Linked DNA regions of Macaca mulatta. The protein of the gene in region 7 purifies or fractionates together with the protein of the main gene of each other region. This does not show direct contact. Links are inferred from orthologs where the notes say so. Each region holds a gene or a part of one and is shown on either strand. Other genes may lie near its edges. The genes, in order: BRD8, RUVBL1, MEAF6, MBTD1, EPC2, ACTL6A and MRGBP.

Region 1 (4,026 bases), on a different chromosome or scaffold from region 7:
GGATGTCACTTTCTGCCCCAGCCACTCCCCAGTTCCTTTACCTGCTGCTTGTCCTCTAGGGAGGTAGAGATGACAGAGCAGTCTGACAGCAGGTTCTTGCGTACCACAGACCCCAAATCTGCAGCTGTGGACTCAAACATGGGAGAGACTACGACATCGTCATCGGACAGCAAGCCCGCTGGCGGAGAAAGGATCCCTTGCGACATGACGGCAGGGGCAGCCTAGGTCTAAAAAGAGACCAAAAAGTGGGCAGGGAGAAGAACCTTTAGGGACAGAAGGGGCCGCGAATTTTAGGTAATAAGTCCCTTGCCCCAGGACACCGGGTCCCGCTCCCTACTTCCTTTCCCCTCTAATTATCGGCAAAGGGGAAGGGAATGAGAGAAGTTCACTTAATGAACAATCGAGAGAAGTTTGAGGTTGCATTTCTGAAAGCGAACAGAAGTCCACAGAAATCTGGCTCCAAAAGCAAAAGGCCAGGCCTAAAGTAGGGCACCTCGCCCGCCGGTGCTGTGGAGGTGGTGTCAGGATCCCTCGGCTCCTTTTCTAACCTCAAGGACCACCGTGAGAACAGAGATGCAGCATTAAGAGAAAAACAGATGGCTGCAGTTCCGATTTCTTAAAGCCTATTCCGCGTGGGCAAGAGCTGGTAACCCGGGCTCCAGCACAGCCGCACACTCACCCGAAGACGTGCCACTTGCTCCTCCTCGGGTACCGGCTCACTCACACCTAGTCGCCGAACCTGGACTTTCGCAGCCGGAGAGCACAACTCCGCCCACGAGGTGCAGCTTTGTTACCGATACAATATTTTAAATTACGCGCTGCGTTCGTTCGGCCAATGAGATAGGGAAGTCTGCAGCTACCAATCCGCGTAAGGAAAAGGGGCGGGTCCGACTGGAATTCCAGTAGTTTGCATCCGCTTGACCTCTCAGATCTAATGTGGGTCCGGGTTACCAACTGTCGCGGGTTAGGAGTTATTTCGCTTGGGATTCTTCCAGCTTAACCCTTTTTCTTGAACCTTAGACATTTCTTACCTAAGAACCCTAAAGGAAATCTTGAGGCTTCAGCCGCCAACCCCTGTCCTTCCTTAGCAAAAATCTTAAAAGGATTGCACAAGATAACTGGTTTAGGGTGCTTGCTTTGTCTTAGGGGAAAAAACGACATTTCCCAGGAGGCACCGCGAACCAACGCCGGTACTCTACTTCCCAGAATTCCAGGGTTTCGGCCCTACCAGACCGTCTCTCCTCAGGGTTGGAGACTTCGGGGCCAAGATGGCGACGGGAACGGGCAGTGAGTATCTGAGCAGGTTTTGCGTGAAAGGCGTTTGTAGATCCGAGGCTAGGCACCATATTTTTGTTACACGCTTAGGGAGTGGGAGAAGTGGTTTGCTTGAGAGCTCAGGGTTTTCAGAGACCTGCGCTCCACAGCATCGTGAAGACCAACGTTTGGGGGCCCAGAAATCTGGGGTCTTGTTTCTCAGGGAGGGAGCGGAGGTGTGAGAGAAGGAGCTTAGTGAATCCTAGTGTGTTAGGAGCCCTTCGGGGTAACCGTAAAAGCACTCTAGAAACTTGGGCGTGCAGACGAAAAGATGTTATGAGCCAGACGGAGTAACCGGCACCTCAAAGAGCCATTCATTTTTTGTTCGACGTTTGTGAGGCAGTGGAAGTGGGGCCTTTTAACCATGAGCTTTTCTTGCCACTCAGGAAATTGCATCTCGGGGATTTCAGCCATTTTTCTTTTAGTGGACTGAAAAGGTCTTTTAGGCCCGACATTTGGAGTAGAGGATCTGAGAGAAGTAAACAAGTTTATGCTAAGAGGGAGGCGGGGTTGTAGGAGGGGCTGGCCGCTCGGGTTCCTGGGAAATAAGCCCTGAATGAGTTCAAACTGGAATAAAGTCCAGTGTTCTTAAAACTGGGCTTTTAGGGAGAACTGCCTAATCTGACATTCCCAATTTTTTAATAAAGCGGAGCTTCAAGCCGTGGCGTTTTAAGAAATAAAATGTTAATAATTCACATGCAACAAATTGGTACCACGGTCACTGGTGATACTTCACTTGGAGAGGTGAAAATCAAGATTTGGTGATAGTAGCTCACTTTGTCCTAACAAGTTGGAATATTTTGTATTAGGCTTTTAGTCCCCTTTTTGGGGATTTTGGAGCTTAGCACTACAGTCTCAGTGGTTGCTTCCAAGGCTTTTTTTTTTTTCGTTTCCCAGAACACAAGCTGCTGAGTACTGGCCCCACAGAGCCATGGTCCATCCGAGAGAAGCTGTGTTTAGCATCTTCTGTCATGAGAAGTGGAGATCAAAATTGGTAAGCTATCTAGGATGTCAGCTTTTCTGGGTCTTAGAAATTGTTAGATACTCTTTCACATTGATAGATTTCTGTAGTTAATCATATTAAGCTGTAAGTAGACTTTTTCTTCTTCCCTTTTTTTTTTTTTTTTTTTTTTGAGACAGTCTCCTTCTCTCGCCCAGGCTGGAATGCAGTGGTGCAGCCACGCCCAGCTAATTTTTTTAGTTTTTAGTAGAGACAGAGTTTCGCCATGTTGGCCAGGCTGGTCTCGAACTCCTGACCTCAGGTGATCCACTGGCCTCAGCCTCCCAAAGTGCTAGGATTACAGGCGTAAGCCACTGCGCCTGGCCATGCCTGGCTAATTTTGTATTTTTAGTAGAGACAAGGTTTCACCATGTTGGCCACGCTGGTCTCAATCACCTGACCTCATGATCTGCCCGCCTCGGCCTCCGAAAGTGCTGGGATTACAGGCGTGAGCCACTGCTGCCGGCCTTTTTTTTTTTTTTTGAGACAGGGTTGCACTTTGTGGCCCAGGCTGGAGTGCAGTGGTGTGATCTTGGCTCACTGCAACCTCCATGTCTGAGGCTCAAGTGATCCTCCCACCTCAGCCTCTTTAGTAGCTGGGACTACAGGTGCACACCACCATGCCCAGATAATTTTTTGTATTTTTTTGTAGAGATAGGGGTTTCATCATGTTTCCTAGGCTGGTCTTGAACTCCTGGGTTCAAGCGATCTGCCCACCTCAACCTCCCAACCTACTGGGATTACGGGTGTGAGCCACCAGGCCAGCTGTATTTTTTTTTTTAAACAGCTTTATTGAGATATAATTCACATACTATAAAATTAACTTACTTAAGATGTACAATATAATGGTTTTTAGTATATTCACAGTTGTGCAGCCATTACCACAATCTAATTTTAGAACATTTTCTTTATTTTTATTTTTTTTATTTTTTATTTTTTGAGGCTCTTGCTTTGTTGCCCAGGCTGGAGTGCAGTGGCGCAATCTTGGCTCACTGCAAGTTCCGCCTCCTGGGTTCATGCCATTCTCCTGCCTTAGCCTCTCGAATATCTGGGACTACAGGCGCCCGCCACCACGCTCAGCCTATTTTTTTTTATTTTTAGTAGAGACGGGCTTTCACCATGTCAGCCAGGGTGGTCTTGATCTCCTGACCTCGTGATCAGCCCACCTCGGCCTCCCAAAGTGCTGGGATTACAGGAGTGAGCCACCGCATCTGGCTGACATAACGCTTTTAAGGTTCATTCTTATATAGCAGGTATCAATACTTAATTCCTTTTTTAGCTGAATAATAATCTGTTATATGAATATACCAAATTTTGTTTATCCATCGCTTGATAGACAATTGGGTTGTTTCCACTTTTTGACCATTATGAATAATGCTGATGATACGCACATTTGTGTACAAGGTTGTGGACAATGTTTTTAATTCTCTTGAGTTTTTTATTCAAGGAGTGAAATTGCTGGGTTATGTAGTAACTCTATTATGTTCGCTTTTTTTTTTTTGCAGACAGGGTCTCACTGTCACCCAGGCTGGAGTGCAGTGGTGCAATCTTGGTTCACTGCAACCTCTGCCTCCTGGGCTCAAGTGATTCTCCGGCCTCAGCCTCCTGAGTAGCTGGGACTACAGGCACATGCCATCATCCCCGGCTCATTTTTGTATTTTTTGGTAGGGATGGGGTTTTGCCATGTTGCCCAGGCTGGACTTTTTTTTTTT
Region 2 (3,500 bases), on a different chromosome or scaffold from region 7:
GAAAAATGATGTCAATAATGCCTACCTCTCAGAGTGCAGGTGAAGCCTGAAGACGTTCATGTGTATAATGTCACCAAAGGCTAGCCCTGTCTGATCTCACCTTTGTGCACGCCAATTGAATGACCAGATTGTAGTATCACACCCCAGAGATCACATGGGAGACCCTCATCATGAGTGAAAGGGCAGCTGCTGCCTTTGGTGACTAGGGAAATGAGACCAGAGGCAAGCCACTTGGCACGTTTTCCTTCAAAAACAACGTGACCTCCCCTCATCCCCATTCCACCTCGTGGGGTTTAGCGAGATCCTGAGGAACAAACGAGCCCAGCTGGAAGGTAAAAAAGCCTTGTGGCTGGCAGGCAGCCATCCTACCTGATGACACAGTTGCCTCGGTTGGATGCAAAGATGACGATGGGGGCGATAGAAGACTCCAGAGCGCGGTGCAGGTAGGTGAAGCACTCAATGTCCAGCATGTGGACCTCATCAACAAACAGCACACCCGGGACCAGCTCAGCAATGCCCTGGTCGATGTACTTGTTCACCACCTTATTAATCTCCCCTCGAAGTTTGTCTAGGAGATGCAAGGATCGGCAGGCAAGGTCAGCACAGGGCTGGGAGAGACTATCGCCTTTTCTCCTCCACCTGAATTCAATCCAAACCCATGCTGGGAGCCTAGTTTTCCTACTAGCTATGTGATCCCTGACAGGGTGTGTCCCCCCACTCCAGGCTTCAGTGTCATCATCTGAACACAGTGATAATCACACCTAAAGGTCACAAAATTGGTAGCCTCCCCCAAAAGATGTGTTTGGTTAAATGTAAAAAGGTAGCACGGGTGTTCTGCATGGGAATCCCTTCACAGCACATGCTCACTGCTGTCACACTCCCTACCATGCCTTATCACCTCCCACACACCCAGTGTAGCTCTGTCTGATCTGGGAGACACTGGAGTTTAGGAGCCCTGAGTGAAATGAGTTTTCACATGCAAATTTTCCTATTCTATACTCAGTAAATGACCCTTTCTTTTGGTCCCATACAACAATGCTTAGGTTAATTAACTTTCAATCAAGTGCCTGGAATAAGGAAGTGGGTGCTTTTAGAATCCCGAGCAGAAACCTTCGAGGAATGAAAGGCTCTGAAGAAAGGCCCAATCTCAGAGCTCCTAGAGGGATGAGTCTCTCAAAAGTTACATAACCCAGCTAAGGTCTCAGTGCTCATTTTCCAAACCAGCTCCTGTGTTATTGTCAGGAGGGAGCAGCTCACAAACAGAAAACTGGAAGATCTGAGGCAGCGTCTTCCACCAAAGGCACAAGGCCGGGATTGTCCGAAGAGGATGCACACTGAAAATCATGTGAAAAGAAAGAAACTGCTCCTGACAACTCAAACAGAAAGGTCTCAGATTGCTGCCCTGGCTAAAACTTTAAAGATAATATTTGCTTTAATGTTTAACTAACATCTTAAAGTGACGAAATTGTAGGTAGAATTAGAAAAAAACAGCAACAGGAAAGCTGGGAAGAGCCGCAGGGTAAAATAAAGGTTCACAGGAGAGCAGCAGCAGTGTCCCCTGTGGAGCTCTAGGAAGAGCCCACGAACTGGGCAGGGCAGTGCGTGGAGCTGGTCTGTGAAGCTGCCCTGTGCTCTACTAGGGAGGGGCTGACAGCACCAAGGCTCCAGAGTCTGTGCTCGGGCAGAGCTGGGCGAAATAAATCCACATTTCTGGGGCCTCATAGGGACCAGAAACTGTGACTGCAGTGGGGCAGAGACCACACAGTGTGCTTGCTGTATGGCTGCCTAAATAATGCCAGAGACTAAGGCTAGAGTCAAGCTCTGAACTATGAGGAAGAAGGAACTGTTCTGAGGCATTTTCTCAGGGTGGATGTGCTCACAGAGCCGCAAGGGCATCTCAGAATGTAGGGCCCTCCACCCTGCCCCTTGCTCGCAGGCCACGCTGGTTCTCCTACCTGTGATTTCTGTCTTCTTTGGCTTCATTAGCTGGCCCATCATGGACAGGATATCTTGTCCCCCCTGCATAAGAGAAGACTTAGAGTCAGTGCTGCTTTGTAAGGTGACTACAGAAGCCTCATCCCCCTGCATCCCACTCATCAACTCAACATGGGATCCTGAGGTAAGGAGACCCCTCCTCAAAGCCTGAGGAGCTTCTAAACACAGAGGAATTTTTAGAGGTTCCCTTGACCTGTAAGAATCAAACAAAATCCTTTCATGGTAAGTATAAGCTCCGTGGGGCCTGCCCAGCCTCCTTCTCCAGCCCTATCTTTTTCCAATCCCTTGTTCCTTGATTAGCCACATGAGACTACCAGCCCTGCCCTGGACACCCGCAAGCTCTTTTATGACTCGATGCTTTTGAGTCTATTCCATCTGCCAGGAATGCCATTCTCCTTCCTAGGAAGTTCCCAGTCATTAAAGTTCAAGTCAAATGCCCTCTAGGGGGCATTTGACCCTAACCAGACTCATGACTTCCTCCCAATGTTTCTGTGCCTTTGGGGACACACGGACTACAAGAGTAAGTATAAAGAGTAAGTATAAATATACCATGATTATACTGCTGTGCCTCCTCTCACTAGATTTGACCACAGGCTTGCATCAGCCTAGTCCTTACTTAACCTAGAGCTACTCAGTCTATGGGCCCCTCCCTGTGGAATGGCTGACTCCATAACAGGTTCACCACTCACCTGCATCCTCCTATGGGCTCCTAAGAGTGCAGTCAGCAAGAGGAAGAGGCTGGTGTTTGGTCATTTGTTCAGCATTTAGTGATCACCTGTTAGTTACCAGGCCCTGAGACACAGAGGTGCTCACTAAATGCTGAATAGCTAAAGGCAGCAAATGTTTCCTGTCTGGTCCTCAAAACTGCCTTGCCAGGTAGGAGAAAACTCAAAATCAGAACCCTAAACCACAGAAAACCCAGAGACCCAAAGTGACAAATTAACCAAGCTGGTCAGTGATGGAGCAACACAGTTCCTGACTTCTGACTCCCAGCCCAACACTCTTCTCAGGTCAAGGGCTCCCAGGAGTTCAGTTTGCGGATGGCCACTTCACCAACCGAGGGGACCTGTTGCTCCAAAATAAGTCTTCAGTAATCTCTTGACCAAAGCTCCAAGGAACAAAACACCCACGGATCAAATTTCAAGTCAGAAAACAAACTATTCCCTAATAGTGAAGAGGTCTTTTTTAGGATGAAGAGGAAACCAAACTGCAAGACCATCACAAGAAACAGTGGTGTCTTGTTTCTTTTAATCACATATTTCCTACAAATGCTGTAAAGTGATAACATCCTTTCCTACATTTTACTAGTCAAGGCATAAGTATCCATCTGCATGAGAAGCAGACAACAGTACCAGCTCAAAGCTAAAACACTGTGGCTTTTGCTAAGCAGGGGGAAAGAAAGAGCTTTGTCAGGCTTTCTGAAATCCTGTAACGGGCTCACAGAACACTCCTGCCCTCCTGCCATTAACACCCAGAGAATCCCAGGCGTGAGCCCACTGCTGGAG
Region 3 (4,130 bases), on a different chromosome or scaffold from region 7:
CCCATTTGCAGATGAAATTATCTATGTAAAAAATTCCAAGGAATCTATACAAAACCCCCCTAAAATTAGTAAGGAAGTTCAGCAAGATGGCAGGTTACAAGATCCGCACACGAAACCAGTTATTCAGAATGCAGCACAGAGGGACAAAAAGATAGAAAATATAGACGGTAGGTTAAAAATAAAGGTTTCTTATGTTCGAGTTCCAGAAAGAGAGAGAATATGAGACAGGCATCTGAAGAAAAATGACTGCGATTTCCCAAAACTGGTGGAAGATACCAACCCACAGATTATAGAAATCCAAAGACTTCCAAGCAAGAAACAAAACAAAAAGAAAAAATATCCCACTTAGACTTATGATAGCGAAATTGCAGAAGAGTGAAAGATGGAGAGCTGAGGAGGGAGAAATCAACAGGGGCCAAGTGAAAACAACGTCTACACCTTGGACTTAACGATAAAAGCGAATTCGTACTTGCAGAGTCATTGGCACCTGCCAAACCCCTTACACACATTAGCTGATTTACTCCTCACAGCAACTGTATTAAGTAGATTCTATCACTGCTTTCATTTTACAGATGAGGGAGTTGAGATTTGGTTATTTACCCAAAGGGGCACACTTTATCGATGTAGCGATAGGATTTTGAACAAGGTAGTTCTCGCTCCAGTTTTGTGCCCTTAACCACTACACATACTTGTTTCTCCAAAGGGCAATGGGAAAATGGGAAGCCACTGAAAGGCTTTAAACAGGGGAGTGATAACATTTGTTTCTGGAAGATTCCGGCACCACTGTGGATAGTGGATTAAATGGGGCTAAAGGTGGAAATAAAGAAGCTGTTGGAATAACGTAGCCCCAAACAGGGAGGGCCTGAATGAACTAAGAAGGTGGCAAAAGGCGCAGGCACAAGCAAATGGATTCGCGAGCTCTTCCGGAGTCGAATCCACAGGGCTTGACCTGGTATCGCGTTTTACTCCGGGTGCAGAGTGAGGAAAACCGGGTTTCTGACGCAGGCAATTGCGGTGGATAGTGAAAGTCATTCACTGAAGTGGACTGAGGCGGGACGCACAGGAGACTCGGAGGCCTGAGGACGAGCTAGGCTTTGGACACGGTAGATTTGTGGCGTCTGTAAAGCCCGCGGCCAGCCGAGGGGCAGGAAACGGCGTAAAGGGCAGAGCAGAAGCCGACTCTCTGGACCTCTCCGAGAAGGATCGTCCAGAGTCCCGGCCGCAGAGCACCTCTGCGCGGCGCTGCACGCGTCTCCGGAAGCCGCGCGCGCAGGCGCAGTGCGGGGGGCGCCCCCTGGCGGCGCAGGGACCGCCCCCAACCTCGCGCCGCCGCCGCCCGCCTCAGCCCAACATGGCGATGCACAACAAGGCGGCGCCGCCGCAGATCCCGGACACCCGGCGGGAGCTGGCGGAGCTCGTGAAGCGGAAGCAGGAGTTGGCGGTGAGGGGCTAGGACCGGGGTTGCCCGGCATGGGGCTCCGCGCCCGCCCCGCCTCCAGGCCCCAAGCCCGGCTGCGCCAGGCCGTTCGTTACTCCGGGGGCGCGGCGCGGCGGGCTGTGTGCTCGGCGGCCTGAGGCCGGGTGCGCATTCTGCGGCCCGCCGGCGGTTCAGCTTCCCGGCTGTGCGAATCCGGAGCCGGGAGGGAGCTGGGAGCGCGGGAGGGGGAGGGGCAGCGGCAGCCGCAGGAGGGGGCGTGGAGGGAGGACGGTGCCGGGGCTCGGGACTCGGGGAGAGGGCGCTAGGAAGGGCGAGGCGGGCGAGTCCGTGATCTTTGCGGGGTGGGGGTGGGGTAGGAGGCTAGTGTGGGAGGGGGACCGAGTCACCCTGTCTGGACTTTGGAGGATGGTGGGGAGCGTGTTCTTTTTGGTACTAGTAGTAGATCCGTTGAATGGAGGCTTTTGATAGACAGGGTTGTGATGTGTTTGGGAATATCTAGAAGGTGACAGGCGAGGGAGAAGAACACATTCTGGAGAATTCGGAATTGTGACAGGCACCCAAGGCCCAATGCACCCTGGTGGCTAAGCTCTTCCTGCCCTCACGTCTCGGCTTGGGCACCCCGGAGGCCCCTCTCACCTGAAGCTGCCCTTCCAGGTTTCCATAGCAACTGGCAGCCCGGTGCCGGCGGCCTCTCTGAGCCTGCGGGGAGGGGAGCGAGTTGACGCTGAAAGGCTGCTCACCCTTCCCTCTCCTGGTAGCGATACCTTTTGTGCGTGGGAGTGGATATCGCACAAGTTCTGCGTTAGCCTGGGTTCTTGACTCCTGGTTTCCGTGAATCCTCTAAAGTATATGCAAAATTTCGCGTGTGTGTGTATTTTTCTGGGGACATGCTTTATACATTCAGAGGTCCATCACACCCAAAGGTCTAGACTGTCTTAGTCCTAAACGGCTGCTCCTCCCCATATCATCCATCTCTCCACAGGGTGATTTAGTGTGGACAAGCTTGCGTTTACAAATCTAATATCAGGATTTCATTTTGGTCAGACTTAAGTGTTTGCATTTAAAAGGCATTATTCATGTCCTTGTTTTTCATCTCTCAGGAAACACTGGCAAACTTGGAGCGACAGATCTATGCTTTTGAGGGAAGCTACCTGGAAGACACTCAGATGTATGGCAATATTATTCGTGGCTGGGATCGGTATCTGACCAACCAAAAGTGAGTGTCGAAAGCCTGTAGTGTTCCTATTGTGTTCCTATTGTGTGTGTTTGTAGGACTGTAGGCTCTTAGTAGCAAGTTTGCTAGAGGCAGTAGTAAAGTGGTGGTGTGGTCTGGACTTGAACTCTTGGACTCTGGCTCAGGCACTGCCTCACTGAATAATCTTAGACAAAGCTCACATCTGTAAAATAGCAAAAGTTGGGCCTTTGGCACAGGGTTGTGTGAGGCTTAAATACAGCATATAACAATATCTTTATACAACATCACTCTATTAAATTTTTTACACATTTTAATCAGTCGTGAGTTCTACCCTCACAGTATTTTTCTTTTCTTTTTTTCTTTTTCCTCCTGAGTAGCTGGGATTACAGGCGCATGCCACCATGGCTGGCTAATTTTTTTATTTTTAGTAGAGACGAGGTTTCTCCATGTTGGCCCAGCTGGTCTTGAACTCCTGACCTCAGGTGATCTGCTGCCTTGGCCTCCCAAAGTGCTGGGATTATAGGTGTGAGCCACCATGCCTGGCCACTTTTCTTTTTTCTAAGAGACAGGGTCTCATGCTGTTGTCCAGGCTGGAGTGCAGTAGCACAATCTTAGCTCACTGCAGCCTCAAACTCCCGGGCTGAAATGATCCTCCCACCTCAGCCTCTCAATTAGCTGGGACTACAGGCACACAATACTGCACCTGACTAATTAAAAACATTTTTTTTTTTTGTAGAAGTGGGGTCTCACTTTGTTGCCCAGGCAGGCCTGGAACTCCTGGTTTCAAGCAGTCCTCCTGCCTCAGGTTCTCAAAGTGTTGGAATTAAAGGGGTGAGCCACCACGCCCAACTGACCCTCACAATTTTTGCCATACCTGTGTGCCAGCTGTACCACTGCTTGCTTAGTAATATTTTTAAAAAATTTCTAAACTTTTGGATTATCTTCAAGTTATAGAAAAATGGGAAGAATAGTATATGAACACTTGATACTGTCCTACCTGTATTCAGATTGTTAATGTGTTGTGACATTTGCTTTCTCTTACTCTCTATAATATTAATATAAGCACACACCTATATTTACATTTCACGTTTTTAAATTGTGAAATAATTATAGATTCATAGGGAGTTGGCAGAATGGTCTTTTGTAGTCTTCATCTAGTTTTCCCCAATAGGTGTTTTTTTTTTTTTTTTTTTTTTTTTTTTTTGAGACGGAGTCTCACGCTGTTTCCCAGGCTGGAGTGCAGTGGCGCGATCTCGGCTCACTGCAAGCTCCGCCTCCCGGGTTCCCGCCATTCTCCTGCCTCAGCCTCCTGAGTAGCTGGGACTACAGGCACCCGCCACCGCGCCTGGCTAATTTTTTGTATTTTTAGTAGAGACGGGGTTTCACTGTGGTCTCGATCTCCTGACCTTGTGATCCGCCCGCCTCGGCCTCCCAAAGTGCTGGGATTACAGGCTTGAGCCACCGCGCCCGGCCAATAGGTGTGTTTTATATAACTCT
Region 4 (3,974 bases), on a different chromosome or scaffold from region 7:
ACGGTGAAACCCCGTCTCTACTAAAAAAATACAAAAAACTAGCCGGGCGCGGTGGCAGGCGCCTATAGTCCCAGCTACTCGGGAGGCTGAGGCAGGAGAATGGCGTAAACCCGGGAAGCGGAGCTTGCAGTGAGCTGAGATCTGGCCACTGCACTCCAGCCTGGGCGACAGAGCGAGACTCCGTCTCAAAAAAAAAAAAAAAAACCTAAACCATAGAATACCCCTTGAAGTGAGTTTGAGCTTCCCAAAACCACAGGACAGAAATGTCCAAGTGGTTTCTACTTGCTCTACTACCAGTCTAATAAACAGACTTCAAACCCAACAGCTCCCACCTCAGTACACTCTTCCTTTTCCAGACGACAAAACTGTCACAAAGTTCAGTTTCCAGTAGCAGTTCTGTACTTCCCAAATAGATTGCTGCCACTTCTCCCACAAGCACCCGAAGGAGGCTCTGGTAAGCAGCTGACATTAGATGGGTCAGCATTTGTGTAAGAAACATGGACTGGGTAATGTTCGGTGCGCTTTCCTCCGCCCCCTATCTAAAATTTCACAGGCCTCCTCTAGACACGCTCATCTCCCTTTACCGTATGTCCTTTTTTCTCTTCAGCACTTGTCACCAACAAACCTGAAGTTTACCGGTTTATCTCATCTATCTTGTCTCTGCCACTAGCATACAAGCTCCAAGAGGCAGGGATTTTTGTCAGTTTTGTCCATTGCTGTGTCTCCTCCAGTGCCTAGAACAATGTCTGGGACTCTCAAGAAAAGCCTGGTATAGAATTAAATGGATAGCAAAATGTGTGCAAAAAGTATGATGAATCACGCAGGGTTTGCCATTGCCAGAGAGGGTATCTGGCAACCAACAGGTTCCCCAATATTTGCTAAATGAACGAAATTCACGATCATTCTCAAAATCCTGTGGGTCTCACAGTCACTTGGGGAGATAGTTACAACGCAGATGCCCAGGCCCGTGCCCACGAATTGATTCCATCAACGAAATGGAATTCCTAGATCACAAGGAACTGAGGCAGGTGATCAAAAGACCACATTGTTTGGGGAGAGGCTAGCGGAGCCGAGCAGCGGCGAAAGATGCTCACTACCACAGTTCGCAAAGCAGATACCCGAGCAGCGGCGCCTCCGGGGGCGGAGAAAGGCGCGGTCCCCGCCCTCCAGACACTTTCAGTCTGGAGCAGGGAGGCGAAGGACCCGCAGCTGCGACCCTCGGCGCCCGCGTTCTCAGGCTCCCTCCCACCTGAGCGCTCCCCGCCGCCGCAGGTCGCCCAGGCTCCGCCCCCCAGAGCTTCACCGCCCACCGCGCGCCCCGCCCGAGCGCGCCCAGCCCGCGCGCCGCGGCCTCCCTCACCCGCGGGCCCCGCAGACGCCGCAGCAGAGCGTCCTCGTCGTTCTCGACGTCGCCGAAGACCAGCTCCTCCAAGCACCGCTCCACGGCCGGTTTGTCCTCCTCCAGCGTCAGGCGGTTCCGCTGCCGGAGCCGTCTCTCCTCCTCCGCCGCCGCGACTGCAATCGCAGCGGCCGCAGCGCTCGGCCGGGCCGGCGGTTTCCGCTGGGATGAAGGGGCAGGCTTTTGGGGAGGCCGGCCTGGCCCTGCTCCGGCTTTCCAGTCCGGCCTCGTTCCGGGCTTCCGTTTCGGCTTCGCTCCGGTTCTCCGGTCCAGTTTCATTCGTCTCCTCCGTTCCGGCGGCATCGTTAGGTTTGAGGAGAAACGCAGGCGCTCACGTGGAACCTCGCTGCGCATGCGCCCAGGCACCTCCCTGGCCGCCGCCGCCGAAGCCCCTGGGGCCGGAAGGAGCCTGCGCAGCCTCTTGCCACGTGACCCGCACTCCCTCCCTCTACGTAACTCTCACTCCCCTACCCAGCCCCGCCCCGTGTGGGAGTTCCTCCGGGAGGGCCAATCTTCCGGGTGTAGGGGGAAGCGGCGTGACTGGAGTGGAAAATTTTTCCAACACAACTTCGCAGCTGCAACATATTGAAAGGAGCGCAAGAAAGCCCGAGTATACACTCGGACAGCTGAATGAAACTTCTGCTTTTCCTGTTGACTTTAACCAGTGGATTTAACACAAGCTCCAATGCGCTTTCCACCTCTCGTCTTGGTACGGTCCTTGGAGTACGGAGCCTGCAGAGGGTCCCACGCTGGAAGCGAGTGAGGAGGGTATGTAGGGAAGTGGGCCAATCGGGGCGCGGGTCACGGCGCAGGCGCGCTGGGGAGGGAGGGCTATGCTAATGTTGTTGATATCCTGGGGCCACCCGAGTTAAAGGGGGGAAATCCGGGGGCTGCCGCAGCCGCCACCGGTCTGGGCCCAGCCGGGGGCCCTCTGTAGTCGCCGCAGTCCCGGGGAGAGGCACCTGCCCCCAGCCCGGGGAGGGGGCGCCGCGGGCTCGGGGAGCACGGACAACCCCTACCCATGAGGCCCTGATGGAAAACACAAAGGATCTGGTGAGAGCCGAGCGCGGCAGCCGCTTTGTGTGCCAGGTGGGGGGGACGCCTGCAGCTCCCCGACCCCAGGAACCCCGCAGCTCCCTGACCCTGCTCCCTGGCCTGCTTCTCCATCCCACGCCCCCTCAATCTCCGGAGCCCCCCCTCCCCCTTCCAGCCGTTAAACGATTCAGGGGTTCCCCTCCCCCCACCCCGTCAGCCCTGGACTCGTTGGGGTTCTCTCCATCTCCTCCACCCTCTAGAAGAAAAATTCGAGAAGAAAGTTTTTCTCTGCGTCCTGCCCCCGCCCCCTGCTCTGGCTAGGGGGGAAAGGCTGGATCCGAGACTTTTCCTTTTTTAGCCACCCAGGGTGGGAGAGTGGAGTAGTCCTCTCTTCTTCGCGGGGAGGGAGAGCATAGTTTTGGTGCTTTGCAGGGGTAGGAGTCTGTCCGGCTTGGGGCCAGTGCCGCGAGGCGGTTTGCACGTGGAGGTGGAAATATTGAAAGGGGGCGGGGTGGGCACGTGCGGGAGAGGTGGGAGTGGTGTTTGGGAAGCAGCCTCCAAGGCTGCGTATTTAAAAGGGTTTCAAGTCGGTGGGCTTCTATGACCATTGCGTTCTCCTTTGTGAAATAAGAATCCTAACATTTCAGAGTCGGAAGAGACATTAGAGGTCATCTAAAGCAGCCGTCCCCTCTGCAGCCTCTCTGACAAGGGGTAGGTAGTCTGACCCCTGCTTAAACCCCTAAAAGCACTGAGCGCTCACTACTGCCCTGGAAAGCCCATTTTTCAGTAGTTCTAATTGTTGTCTGCCTACCCTTGTTAGACCCTTCAGTCTCTCATTCATGTCCTGGTTAAGTTGCTCCTTTTTTTACTTCTCAAATTTTCTCTCACATCCTCCTCACCCACCCACTGCTCATTGGCCTATATTTTGTGTGCCAGGAAAGAACAGCAGGGAAGTGGAGGAAGGGGGGGTTGAGAGATAGTGAGGGCCAGCCGAAAACTTTGCTGGGTCAGTGTCAAATGTGCTGCCTTACATGCCTGAAGGTGTTTTTTCTACAGGAAGCTAAATAATTACAATATGGGAATTTCATGCCTGTTTTCTCTCACGAGTGCATCTTTTTGAAGTCAGAAATTTCAGCGTCATCTCCGTGGTTCTTGTATCGCAAAACACATTTGCGGATTACCTAAATCACTTCTCCTAAGGATGTCTAAAACTGTTAGGGATGGTACTGAAGCATCACCTGATAGAGGGATGATTAGATGATTACCGCCCCCACCCATTTGACCTGTGTTCCTCGGGAGCTAGTCTTTCCTCCAGGGGTCCCTCTTCCAAATGCTTTTACTCCTTTTTTTTAAGTAACTATCTTTTATGAGATTTGAAATTTATGGACCATTTTAATACTTGTTTAGAGTTTACAATATTTTTAATTCTCCTTACACTAGCATACACCAGTACTTATCCCTGGCTGGTTGAGATAGGTCAGTTGAAACTATTGTCACTGGGTGTTTCTTTAACATTCATCCTTCATTTGGTGAGCTGTGC
Region 5 (3,500 bases), on a different chromosome or scaffold from region 7:
GTCTCCAAGTCCTGGGCTCAAGCAATCCACCTGCTTTGGCTTCCCAAAGTGCTGGGATTACAGGCGTGAGCCACAATGCCCAGTCTGCAGCATCATTCTTTTTTATTTATTTATTTATTTATTTTTTTGAGATGGAGTCTCCCTCTGTCTCCCAGGCTGGAGTGCAGTGGCGCGATCTCCACTCACTGCAAGCTCCGCCTCCCGGGTTCACGCCATTCTCCTGCCTCAGCCTCCCGTGTGGCTGGGACTACAGGCGCCCGCCACCGCGCCCGGCTAATTTTTGTATTTTTAGTAGAGACGGGGTTTCACCGTGTTAGTCAGGATGGTCTCGATCTCCTGACCTCGTGATCCGCCCATCTCGGCCTCCCAAAGTGCTGGGATTACAGGCGTGAGCCACCGCGCCCGGCTGCAGCATCATTCTTAAAGGGCTGGGAATATATAGCAAAACTTTCTAGGCTCTCATTAGTACCACCAATAAAAGCCTATTTTACATACAGTTATCTAACTATGTCATTTTCTTACTTAACATTTTAAATAATTTCCCATTATGTATAATGTAGATAGAGGCTATCTGACATCTGGGTATTACTGCAGGCATCAAGCCTTTCATCCCCTCTTCCTCTTCTATGTTATGTGCTCCAGCAATGCTAAACTGCTAGGAGTTCCCTCTAGTATGTTGTGCCTAGAACCCTTCCCTATACTTTCTATCTTGAAAATTACTCTTTTGTAAGGCACTATATCCCTCATTCCTTCAAACTGGTCATCTGATGAATGTCCCATGGCTGTTCAAAGCTCTGCCTGAGTCAAACTAGATGATCCTCTGACAAAAGTAATATATGGGTTCATTAAGCACTCCTCAAGGAATAAAATTAAGCATATCTTTGCACATTTGATACTATTCATGACTATCAGAATATTATCTGGGTAGAAAAACTAATCAGTGAAAAAAAAGAGTAAAACTAGTATAATCCAGCCAAAAGGGACACATTTTATGCAAACTCCAGATTTTAAATGGTTATAGCAATGAAGAGTTTTATAAACAGTCCTGCTTTCAAACATATCTATAATGTTGGTTTTTTAAAAAAAGTTTCCTTAAAGCAAACAAGTCAAAAAGTTAAAATATGATAAAGCTGGCAGTAGGTTCAAGGTCTTTGTTACAGTATTTTCTGTTAAGTTTCCTATGCTATTTTTAAAAAGATGGTATTGCTAGAGCAGGTGATACACAATATTTTTTGAAAAAATGGATCTTTCTTTTTGTTTGTTTGTTTTTTTGAGACAGAGTCTTGCTCTGTCGCCCAGATTGGAGTACAGTAGCACGATCTCAGCTCACTGCAAGCTCTGCCTCCCGGGCGCACGCCATTCTCCTACCTCAGCCTCCTGAGTAGCTGGGACTACAGGCACCCGCCACCATGCCTGGCTAATTTTTTGTATTTTTAGTAGAGACGGGGTTTCACTGTGATAGCCAGGATGGTCTCGATCTCCTGACCTTGTGATCTGCCCGCCTTGGCCTACCAAAGTGCTAGGATTACAGGCGTGAGCCACCGCGCCCGGCCGGATCTTTTAATATATAAAGTAAAAGTCTTATTTTAAAAACAGCACTTATAAAAATAAATATTTTTTAATTGTGCACATTTTTCTATAAAGCTGTTGCAATATTTATCAAAGAGTTAAAATCTGAATCAGTCCCTTTAAGTCTTTTTTAAAATCAAACAGCCATTACCTAACAAATTAGCAAAATTTGCATTAAAAGTTATAAAACACAATGCTGGTGGAGTGTGGTAAAAAGGAAAGTATTGTTGATATTTTCAATATTTACAATTATATATTAACTGTCTTAAAATATTGATAATTTTTGGTTAGTAACTAGTAATTCAATTACTAAGAATCTATTTTAAATACAGAGGGAAAAGATCTAAGTTCATTTTTATAAATGGAAAAACTGAAAACCATGTGCTCCACAAGAGAGTAAATTCTATACAACTGATGAAAGATAATACAGAGTAAATACCATTTCAGTGGCTACATAAATAATGTGGAAATGTTTATGCTACATACATTAGGGGAACAAAGCAAGAATAAAAACTCTAAGATAGCAATTGCTTTAAAAATATAACAATACAAAATACTAGCAGGAAATATCTTTAAAATAGTTTTAAAACAAGCACCTGTGGAAATTCATCTTCATCTGAGCTGTGAAAGTCATATTGCTTAATGTCACTCTTATTGATCACAGGCAATGTCTCTGGAGTGGGTTGCTGAGATGTTATCAAAGCCTCTGCTTTAGGCTTCTTTGGGTACTTCTTCTTTTGACGAACCACATCAGAAGCCTCTTCTTTCAAAGACAAATGATGAGGGTGCTGTTTACATGACGATTTTTCCCCCAAAAGGAAGAAATAAAAATCATTTTAGAAATCATGAAAAACTATACTGCTCTTTGAAAAACATACATTTTTACCCAGGAGGTGATTTTATTATTTTTAATATGCAAAAATTATTCTGTGTTCATAAATTGAAACATGTTTTACTTTCTGCAACTTATGATGAAAAATAATTATGGTATTTAAATTTGCTTTTTACATTATTATTACTACTTTAAACTATGTGAGGAATTTTTTGGATTGCTCTATTATGTAATCCAGTATTTAAAAGGTATTTAAATTCAATTTTTATTTAAATCTGCTGCACTGATAAAAATTAATCACTATTTTTAAGTTTCTTCAACTGGATCATGAGTTTATTGTCATTTCTACACTTAGATCCAATTTTTTAAAATGTGTGTTCTATGGATGTAAATCTTTTGAGAAAAATAAGCTTAACTAGGAAAAAAAACCCCTCACTTTTTAGAATGTATAATTACTGCAGCAACCGAACAGTAACTGTTCTGAAGTCCCGCAGGCTTCTGTGGAGGTTCCTGAGAGGCCATCTGGCAAAGACACTCACTGAAGGGGTAGTGCCCCTACCTCCCCTCAACAGAGCAGCTCTGTTACTGTTTTAACATACTGGCATTCCTTTTAATAAAAAGGGATCTGCCACTTTAAAAGTTGGAAAAGACTGTTCCAAGCACCAAGGTACAAACTACAAAACTTATACTTTTCCACATCTAGTCCAGATGTTAACTACTTTAGGGTCAAAAACAGTACACACAATAAAAATATTGTTTGAAAGGCAAATTATATTTAGTGAGATATAAAATTTTTCATATAATGGGCATAACTATTACATCAAAAACAAAGCCCCAACTTTCAGAAACTTCCCACATTTTCAAGTGGAATACATGACAAAGTAAATATAGTTAACTATGTGTAATGGAGTAGGACAACAATGGATGCAACCAAATTCCTAAAGTTAGTATTTAGGAAGGCTGAGTATTTATTCATAGAGGAAGTCTAAAATGAGAATCAATATCTAATAAAGGCTGATTCTGTCAGTAATTATGGGTTAAGATTTTCATACTGCAATGCTTAACAATCACATACCTAGGAAAAGCACTGATTAACACA
Region 6 (4,233 bases), on a different chromosome or scaffold from region 7:
TCCCATTTCCGACGCGTCACTTACCTTCGATTCTGACGCGGCAGGTTCCCGCGGTGATCGGAGGAGTTTAACTTCTTTTGTCTTTGTTAACGATCGACCGGTCTTTCGCGTCCTCTTCCTCACGGAGTCCCTCGTTTCCAGGCCCCACGTTTGGGCGCCACGAGTCCCGGCCCACGGGATTGTCAAAGCAGGCCCTGGAAGAGGGGGTGGGAATTTGGGGAACAAGAGACACGAGAAATGGAGACAAGACAGTATCCTGATCAAGTCTCGTTTAATGGCGGTAATGCAATGCCTTATATACATTTGGAGGGGAAGGGGTTGGGCTAAGGCGGAAATTACCTAAAAAAGGAAGGCGTGGCCAGATAAGCCTCGGTTTCTCCGGTCGGACGTCATGTTGCGCCTGCGCAGTCAGGTAGTCTTGTCCCAGGCGCGGGAAAAAAGAATGAAAAAGAAGCAGGAAGAGCGCCATCTTTTAATGGCGGTATTAATACAGGGAAGAAGGTAAATCTAGGGAGAAGATGTGGGGTGGAAATGAATATAGCTCAGGCATTTAATCTTTAATGATTATTCACTATGGCCGGGCGTGCAGCTCCGGACACTTCACCTCCTGGGTTCAAGCGATTCTCCTGCCTCAGCCTCCCAAGTAGCTGGGACTACAGGTGTGTGCCACCACGCCCAGCTAATTTTCGTATTTTTAGTAGAGACGGGGTTTCACTGTGTTGACCAGGCTGGTCTCGAACTCCTGACCTCGTGATCTACCCGCCTCGGCCTCCCAAAGTGCTGGGATTACACGGGTGAGCCACCACACCCGGCCTGAAATTTTTTTTTTTTTTTTAAGAAATTGATTTTTTAAATCGTTTTTAAAGCGCTACCTAGGTTTAGCTGGGATAATGCATCATTTCATTCTTCTTTTACTTATTAATAACCATTTTAAAAATTACAAGATCCTATCAATTTGTCTGATTTACTGATTCCCCTATCCCAAAGTGGAGCGCAAAATTTTTATTTCTTCAACCTAAAGTTAGTTTAAAATACTTTTTCTGAAGAAAAAAAGAAAGAAATCCACATTGCCCACAGTCACTGGACAGGAATCTCAGCGTGGAGACACACGTTCAATTTCCAGAAGTCTACCTTCCCCTACCCAGGTTCCCGCAGCTCCTCAGCGCCCAGCCGCACCTCTTACGCCCCTCCCATGCTTCCCTCCAGCCTTCCTCCTTCTTCTCCCACTGCCTCCGCCCACTCTCTCGCCCACCCGGGAAGCTCCGCCCGCTTCAGCTCCGCAACCCAACTCCTTCTGTCCGGCTGTCGCTTTCCTCTTTCCCCGCCCCCATGGCTGCCTTCGATTGGCTAAACCTGCTGGGCCGCGGCGGGGATGCGGCGCAGCCGCATTCTGATTGACTAAACGTAGGCCTGGACCCTCGTGATTGGCTGATAGGAGGAGACAGCAAGTGTAGCTGAGCTCCGGGGTGTGTGGACGCCGCTTTGTTGCCTGAGGGGGGTGGCGGTGGAAGTTAAGGGAGTCAGGGGCTATCGCTTCTCGGGACTCGCAGTCGCGGCCACTGCAGTCACTTCTCCAGTTAGCCCTTAGGGTAGGGGTCGCGCCGGCAGCAGCCATGAGCGGCGGCGTGTACGGGGGAGGTGAGTGAGTGCGGCCGGAGGAGAGAGCGCGCGTTTTCGGCGTGTGGGGTTTGTAACCGCCGCTCCCAGCCCTCCCCTCCTCGGCGTTCCCTTCCGGTTTCCCCCTCTCGGGACCCCGGCCTCCCCGCCCCATCCCCGCCCCACGCTCTGCCCGCCCCCGGAGCCCACCAGGCTCGGCCAGCGCCTCGGGCGCCCTGGAGTGGCGGCTCTCTGTGGCCGGTTCCTGCCTCTGCCCCCGGAGAAGCAGGGTTTTGGGATGCACGCTCGTTTCTCTAGAGAGCCTCGGGGCTGGGCGGGAAGCTCAGTCCAGCCGGCCGCCGGGCCCCGGGTTGCGTTACCGCCCCAGGGTCGCATCTCCACGAGTGCCTCCTGGACTCGGCTGTGTCGGGGCGCATGTGCTCGCGCCTAAACTTGGAAGGTCCCGGCGGTTTGCAAGCGTGGACGGAGGGTTCCCAGAGCGTCTCACAGGTGGCAATGCGAGCCTCAAGCCGTAGAACTGACTAGGGAAGCGGCGGCCACTTAGGGTACTGCCTCCTCCCTGTCTGTGCCCCATGCGCGAGCTGCCTCACCTTTCAGTAACTCCTGCCTGTTTGTTGGCTGCGGAGTCTCCAGAGTGACTCGTGGGCGGGTCTGTTTGAGATTAATTCAGGAGCACGTGTAGTTTAAGGATGCCCAGAAAGTTTGCCGGGGGTCCTAGGCGTCTTGTTTTTTCACTTATCCTTGATTAGACTGGTGTGGCAGAAAGATTACCAGGTGCGGGGGGTTACAGACCTGAGTTGAAATATCCGCCTCACTGTTGAGCGCTTTGGTCTTAGGCAATTTACATAATTTTCCAACTTCAGGCCTCATTTGTGGAATAATTCCTAGCCAATGGGGATGGGCGTAAAGGTTAAATGAAATAATGCTACATTTGCCACTTAAAGTCTGGTCCATGGACCAGCAGTGTCAGCATCACCTGCAAGCCTCTTAGAAATGCAGAATCTCACGCGTCATTCAAAATCTACTGATTTAGAGCCTCCATTTTTGCAAGATCTGCAGGTGAATCAAAACACTGATACATATAATTAATGTTTTGGGTTGTGTTTGATGAGTTAGAGACCCAGAAAACAAATCCAGACTATTGCTATTGTTGCTGTGTCTAGTAGTGATGCTGTTTCTATAAAGGATGTCATTTTACAGGTAAGATACAACAAAAATAAGATTTTTCCTTCATGTTCCCCAAGAAAATCACATCACCCCTAAACTTGGAAGGAGAAAAACATTTAAATCCTCAAAAAAGAAAAAAAGCCTTTTTAGTAGAATAGAGGTTCAATTCTTTTTTTTTTTTTTTTTTTTTTGAGACGGAGTCTCGCTCTGTCGCCCGGGCTGGAGTGGGCTGGAGTGCAGTGGCCGGGTTTACGTCATTCTCCTGCCTCAGCCTCCCGAGTAGCTGGGACTACAGGCACCCGCCACCTCGCCTGGCTAGTTTTTCTGTATTTTTTAGTAGAGACGGGGTTTCACCGTGTTAGCCAGGATGGCCTCGATCTCCTGACCTCGTGATCCGCCCGTCTCGGCCTCCCAAAGTGCTGAGATTACAGGCTTGAGCCCCCGCGCCCGGCCGAGGTTCAATTCTTGAGGATTTTTATACACTAGAAATTGCATCCTAGGTTTTAAACATCCAGAACTCTGTGGTTCTTTCTACTAAGCCTCCTGCCTCCCATTGCCACTCTCCTACTTAGGGTTCATGGGGCTTGATTTTTAATGAAGCAGGGTACAGGAATTAGATGTATCTCCCATCCTGAAAAAGGAACAGATGTAAAATTCTAAGAATTTAGAGTCTTAAATTAAACTTCCACCATATCCAGTTTACTAATTAGGGCAGGAAAATGAGCTGATATGTTGGATTTTTTTCTATTTCACAAAAATGTTTTTTGAGCACTATGTGGCAGGTATAGGCTGTTGTCATCAAGAAGTTCAGTCTTGTAGATGAATCCGTTAGGTAAATAGACACCATATTTCACCGATTCTTAATTGTACATTTTTCCCACATTTAAACAGCTGAAGTTGGAATATGTCTTTTGTTTGTTTGTTTGTTTTTAATAGAGACGGGTCTTGAACTCCTGAGCTCAGGCAGTCCTCCCGCCTCAGCCTCCCAAAGTGCTAGGATTACAGGTTTGAGCCACTGCCCCCAGCCGGAATATGTCTCAGTAGTGCTGGCCTGGCAGAGTTTTAATTGCCATATTATTTTCTTAGTGATGCCGGAAATAGTGGTGCATCATGTAGTTGATAGCATCTTATATTGATCAGAAATGGTAACTGTAATTCAATGAGAGCTGTTCATTGATAACAATATGTAGAAGGGGCCAGGTGCGGTGGCTCACACCTGTAATCCCAACAACTTGGGAGGCTGAGGCGGGCGGATCACTTGAGGCCAGGAGTTCAAGATCAACCTGGCCAACATGACAAAACCCTGTCTCTACTAAAAATACAAAAATTAGCCAGGCATGGTGGCACATGCCTGGAGTCCCAGCTACTGGGGAGGCTGAGGCACAAGAATCACTTGAACCCGGAACTGCACTCCAGCCTGGGTGACAGAGCAGGACTGTATCCTAAAAA
Region 7 (4,297 bases):
GCCTACGGTCTCACCAAGAGACTGCACACCTGTGGGTCCTGCCTGCCCACCACGACCTACGGTCTCACCAAGAGACTGCACACCTGTGGGTCCTGCCTGCCCACCACGACCTACGGTCTCACCAAGAGACTGCACACCTGTGGGTCCTGCCTGCCCACCACGACCTATGGTCTCACCAAGAGACTGCGTTCCCTAAGGCGGTGTGCAGAGGGCACGGTGACAGCCCTGGGGAAAGGCCGCAGGCACCTCGAGTTCTCATCCACATGGCAGGAACCCATGGACACTGAGGGTGTCAGTTGGGAGCGCCACAGGCACAGAACCAGGCAAGGAAGAAGAGCAGATGGAGCAGGGCCACCCGAGTGCTTGCCAGGCACTGCCCTCCTGAGGTCACACAGACCAGAGGGAGAGACCGGGAGCCAGGGAAAAGTGGAGCTGGCGGGAAGGGCCCTGGACTGGGAGGCGATTCAGGAGACAGGGGCTTCTACTCGGCAGTTTGGGTGCTGTATGGAACAGGCAGTCAGGCCACATTTGTGCTCCTCAAAATCTCCTGGGCCAGCTGGTCAGCCTCTCGGGGGTACTCCAGGGGCTCTGTATTTCATAAGGTCTGAAAGACTCAGATCTCAGTCACACAGAAGTGTCATGGTCCAGAGAAAGTGCCAGCCTGTGGTCTTGCCCAGTCCTTACTGATGTCATAGGCCACTGCAGGAATAAGGAACAGGGCCACAGTCCTAGGGCTGAAAGGCCTGGCGGTCCCACATGGCTTCCTGAGTGTCATGTGGGCTGCTGTGCTCATCTGAGCCAGCACCCATGCCCCAGGGGACATTATGGGCCTTGGAGCTGTTTGTCTTCCCCAGAGACAGGCATAGATTTACACCGATCTCTCCAAATCCCGGTGTGGGAGGTGTCTGGGGACCTAGCGCCCTCTCCCACAACCAAGAAGCTGCTGGGAGTTTGGTGACAGGGGGCCTCTGACCCTGAGGGGTGGTGACCAGAGTTCAATGGCTGATGGATACGCTCTAGGGAGGAGCGGGTCCAGGGAGGACCTTGTGAGCTTAGTAGCCAGCTGTGTCTGGGCCACTAGGTACTGGTCACCCAGTGCAAATGCCGCACTGGCTCAGAACGTCCTCAACACACGAGGCGGCAGCAACAGGGGCTTAAGCTTCCAGGGCATTTCTAGGGCTGAGCATCCTTCCTCTCCTCAGACAGCCAGGCCCCTGCACGGCTGGCATCTCTGTCCCCTTTCTACAGCTATGACAAGGAGACCCACATCACTCCACCAATGTCAACGGCAAGCATTCCTTGCCTCAGTGGTGCCCCTATGTCTTCCTGGAAGGGCTGGTGTGGCCCTGAGTCCAGCGTGGCTGGCACAGACTCTCCTTCCACCAGCACAGGTCCCCACTCCTCCTGGTCACCTGACCCCTGACCCCCACCCCATTCTCCAAGCACACCACCTTCTTTCAACTCCTGGACCCACCACCTCCTGCTGCCACAGAGCCTGCAACACCCACCTGTCTCTTGTGGCCAGCCTGCTTACCTAGCTAACGCGCTCGCCCGTCACACACTGCCAGCTCCAAGCTCTGTGAGGACTGGGACTCTATTTGCCTGACTCCCACAGAAGCCACCAAATTCACCTTGGTGTGACTCAGATAGGGTCACCCTCTGCCTAAAGCACTTCTGGGGCATCCCGGGAGGCTGACAAGGGCCTAAGGGCCTGGGGACTCTGCATCCTTCCCTCCCTCCCCAGGGTCTCAGCTGGAGGCTCTGGCCCAGCACCCAGTCTAAAGCAGGCCCCCTGAAAAGCTGGCCAGCTGCTAGCATTGTGTTTGTGCTTTCCATGACAGGCTCTGGAGCCCTGGGATGCCCTCCTTAAGGATGGGTCTCACTGCAGGGGGCTCTGCCCAGCAGACCCCAGCAGGCATGGAGGGGCCTCTGCTCTGCCCAGCTCAGGCTGACCCTCAGCGGTGTGTGGGTTCGTGCCCCCATCGGGCAGCACAGGGAGGGTGGTTGGGCTCACCAGTGCCTGCATGTCGTACATGGTGCTCAGGTGGTCCCAGATGACCTTGGATGGGACCTGCCGCCCGATGTTCTGGCTGAACTTGTCCCGGATACAAATCATGTGGAAGTGTCGGTTCACACCTGGGGGGAGGAGGGGCGGCGGGACAACCGGTCAGAGGGGAGGAGAAGGAGAAAGGGGATGGAGGGGACAGGGTGCCCTGGGGACTGGAGGGGCAAGGGTGGCCGCGGTGGGATGGGGTGGGCCAGGGTGCGGAGGGGCTGTCGGGGGGCAGGGCTGGGTGGTGTGTGTGGGAGGGGGTGGGGCGTCCCGGGGCAGAGGTGGGGGTGGGGCGCTGCGGGCTGGGGCCTCGCGGTGTCACGGGGGTAGGGGCCGGGGGCGGGGTCCGGGGCGGGGTCCGAAGGGCGCGTGGGAGGGGGCGGGGGTCCCGGGACGGGTGTGGCGGGGGTGTCACGGCCCGGGCTCGGCGGGGCGCGTGGGGGCGCGGGTGTCGCGAGCGCAGGCCCCGCCCCGCCCCGCCGGTTGCCCGCCCCGCCCCCACGCGCGTCCGCGGCCTGGGCGCTCACCGACGGGCTTGTGGCCCAGCATGGCGTGGAAGAGGCACACCTCCACCTCGGGGCTCCACACCACTGTCTCCTCCGCCGGGCTGGTGGCCGCCTCCCCTGGGCCCTTGTCGCCTGCGGCGCCCCCGCCGCCCACCTCGGCCTCTCCCATGGCCGCGGCCCGGCCGAGCAAGGAGCCCCCGGCGGGAGCAGGCGCGGCCACGAGCTCCGCGCAGGCGCACTCGGGGGCGGGCGCGCGCTCCGCCAGGCACGAGCTCGGGCTCACGCGCCGGCGTCGGCGCAGGCGCAGCCGAGGCCTCGGGTTCCTTCCCGCCGGGGACTCCGCCCTGCTCCGCCCCGTGCGGGGGTGCTTAAAACGTGTTCCTCTTTAAAGCACAGTAAGTGTTCTAACACTTCACCCAAACAACAACAGAAAACTTTTTTGCTTCAAAGAAAACCATCAGCAAAGTGAAAAGACGACCCACAGATTGGGAGAAAGTATTTGCAAATCCTGTATCTGATAAGGAACTTCCTTGCAGAAGGTATAAATATAACTCTATAATAAAAAGACAGTCTAACTATAAAACGGCAAAGGATTTGGATACACATTTTTCCAAAGAAGATGTACAGATGGGCCGGGCGCGGTGGCTCACGCCTGTAATCCCAGCACTTTGGGAGGCCGAGGCGGGAGGATCATCTGAGGTCAGGAATTCGAGACCAGCCTGGCCAACATGGCATAATCCCGTCTCTACTAAAAATACAAAAAAATTAGCCGGCCGTGGTGGCGGGCGCCTGTAATCCCCGTTACTTCGAGAGGCTGAGGCAGGAGAATCGCTTGAACCCGAGAGGCGGAGGTTGCAGTGAGCGGAGATCGCGCCATTGCAATCCAGCTTGGGCAACAAGAGAGAAACTCCGACTCGGGAAAAAGAAAAAAAAAGATGTATAGATGGCCAATGAACACCATCGGTCACGCGAAACGCGAACCAGCCCGCGTGGGGACCCCCTTCCCCGCCGAGACCGCCGCAACTACGCGGCCGGGGTGGCGAGTACTGCGAGGATCCGGACTCGGGACCCTCGTGCGGTCGTGCTGTGGGGCCAGATGGAGTCGCTGCTGCGAAAGACAGAACGGCCGTTCCTTCAACGATGGAACCGTCTCCCTAGGAGGCAGCAGCTCCGTGGCGGGCGCCCGCAACGGTGGAACAAGACACAGGTTCAGGCTGGGATCCGCAGCCGCAAGGCTAGCGCCGCCCCCAACCGGGGCTGAACCGGCTAGGGGCGCACGGAGCGCGGGCACCCGCACGGCGCAGCCGCGTTCAGCCTAAAAGCCGCGAGCGCGGACTGCGGCAGCGTGGGTGCGGGCTGAGACGAAAGTCAGAGAATTCAGACACCAAAATACGCAGCATGGGAATCCATTCACAGGAAGAGCCAGAACTGGCAACTCCATAGAAATAGAAAGTAGACGCACAGTTGCCGGGGACGGGGGAGGGGGAGGGAAACGCGAGTCACTGCGGATGGGGATCGGCTTCTTTTTTGTTTCTGAGGCAGAGTCTCGCTCTGTTGCCCAGGCTGGGGTGCAATGGCGCGATCTTGGCTCACTGCAACCTCTGCCTCTCGGGTTCAAGCAATTCTCCCGACAGACTCCCGAGAAGCTGGGACCACAGGCCCTCACTACGGCCGGCTAATTTTTGTATTTTTAGTAGAGATGCGGTTTCACCATGTTGGCCAGGCTGGTCTCGAACTC

The links.
Region 1: the proteins of MRGBP (region 7) and BRD8 purify together in Homo sapiens (affinity purification with mass spectrometry; 10 studies listed by BioGRID and IntAct, counting the BioPlex papers as one, with this or other methods). This does not show direct contact. The link is inferred for Macaca mulatta from reciprocal best matches to the Homo sapiens genes MRGBP and BRD8.
Region 2: the proteins of MRGBP (region 7) and RUVBL1 purify together in Homo sapiens (co-immunoprecipitation; 6 studies listed by BioGRID and IntAct, counting the BioPlex papers as one, with this or other methods). This does not show direct contact. The link is inferred for Macaca mulatta from reciprocal best matches to the Homo sapiens genes MRGBP and RUVBL1.
Region 3: the proteins of MRGBP (region 7) and MEAF6 purify together in Homo sapiens (co-immunoprecipitation; 4 studies listed by BioGRID and IntAct, counting the BioPlex papers as one, with this or other methods). This does not show direct contact. The link is inferred for Macaca mulatta from reciprocal best matches to the Homo sapiens genes MRGBP and MEAF6.
Region 4: the proteins of MRGBP (region 7) and MBTD1 purify together in Homo sapiens (affinity purification with mass spectrometry; 4 studies listed by BioGRID and IntAct, counting the BioPlex papers as one, with this or other methods). This does not show direct contact. The link is inferred for Macaca mulatta from reciprocal best matches to the Homo sapiens genes MRGBP and MBTD1.
Region 5: the proteins of MRGBP (region 7) and EPC2 purify together in Homo sapiens (co-immunoprecipitation; 4 studies listed by BioGRID and IntAct, counting the BioPlex papers as one, with this or other methods). This does not show direct contact. The link is inferred for Macaca mulatta from reciprocal best matches to the Homo sapiens genes MRGBP and EPC2.
Region 6: the proteins of MRGBP (region 7) and ACTL6A purify together in Homo sapiens (co-immunoprecipitation; 4 studies listed by BioGRID and IntAct, with this or other methods). This does not show direct contact. The link is inferred for Macaca mulatta from reciprocal best matches to the Homo sapiens genes MRGBP and ACTL6A.

Annotation. Positions count from the first base shown.
Region 1 is NC_133411.1:147,033,002-147,037,027, reverse strand, and holds the start of BRD8 (bromodomain-containing protein 8), read left to right. Parts: upstream 1-1,226; 5' UTR 1,227-1,268; coding exon 1,269-1,287; intron 1,288-2,211; coding exon 2,212-2,308; intron 2,309-4,026. Other genes in the region: kinesin-like protein KIF20A, read right to left, coding at 42-206. UniProt on the Homo sapiens protein: May act as a coactivator during transcriptional activation by hormone-activated nuclear receptors (NR). Isoform 2 stimulates transcriptional activation by AR/DHTR, ESR1/NR3A1, RXRA/NR2B1 and THRB/ERBA2.
Region 2 is NC_133407.1:155,874,757-155,878,256, reverse strand, and holds part of RUVBL1 (ruvB-like 1), read right to left. Parts: intron 2,020-3,500; coding exon 1,956-2,019; intron 569-1,955; coding exon 370-568; intron 1-369. UniProt on the Homo sapiens protein: Possesses single-stranded DNA-stimulated ATPase and ATP-dependent DNA helicase (3' to 5') activity; hexamerization is thought to be critical for ATP hydrolysis and adjacent subunits in the ring-like structure contribute to the ATPase activity.
Region 3 is NC_133406.1:203,284,204-203,288,333, forward strand, and holds the start of MEAF6 (chromatin modification-related protein MEAF6), read left to right. Parts: upstream 1-1,330; 5' UTR 1,331-1,351; coding exon 1,352-1,441; intron 1,442-2,538; coding exon 2,539-2,654; intron 2,655-4,130.
Region 4 is NC_133421.1:58,742,390-58,746,363, forward strand, and holds the start of MBTD1 (MBT domain-containing protein 1), read left to right. Parts: upstream 1-1,174; 5' UTR 1,175-1,360; coding exon of another isoform or gene 1,361-1,702; 5' UTR 1,703-2,029; coding exon 2,030-2,167; intron 2,168-2,204; exon of another isoform or gene 2,205-2,431; coding exon of another isoform or gene 2,432-2,452; intron 2,453-3,080; exon of another isoform or gene 3,081-3,773; intron 3,774-3,974. Other genes in the region: UTP18 (U3 small nucleolar RNA-associated protein 18 homolog), read right to left, coding at 1,361-1,702. UniProt on the Homo sapiens protein: Chromatin reader component of the NuA4 histone acetyltransferase complex, a multiprotein complex involved in transcriptional activation of select genes principally by acetylation of nucleosomal histones H4 and H2A.
Region 5 is NC_133417.1:53,760,105-53,763,604, reverse strand, and holds part of EPC2 (enhancer of polycomb homolog 2), read right to left. Parts: intron 2,358-3,500; coding exon 2,166-2,357; intron 1-2,165. UniProt on the Homo sapiens protein: May play a role in transcription or DNA repair.
Region 6 is NC_133407.1:91,570,710-91,574,942, forward strand, and holds the start of ACTL6A (actin-like protein 6A), read left to right. Parts: upstream 1-1,433; 5' UTR 1,434-1,613; coding exon 1,614-1,638; intron 1,639-1,787; exon of another isoform or gene 1,788-2,162; intron 2,163-4,233.
Region 7 is NC_133415.1:115,606,517-115,610,813, reverse strand, and holds the start of MRGBP (MRG/MORF4L-binding protein), read right to left. Parts: upstream 2,801-4,297; 5' UTR 2,729-2,800; coding exon 2,581-2,728; intron 2,137-2,580; coding exon 2,015-2,136; intron 1-2,014.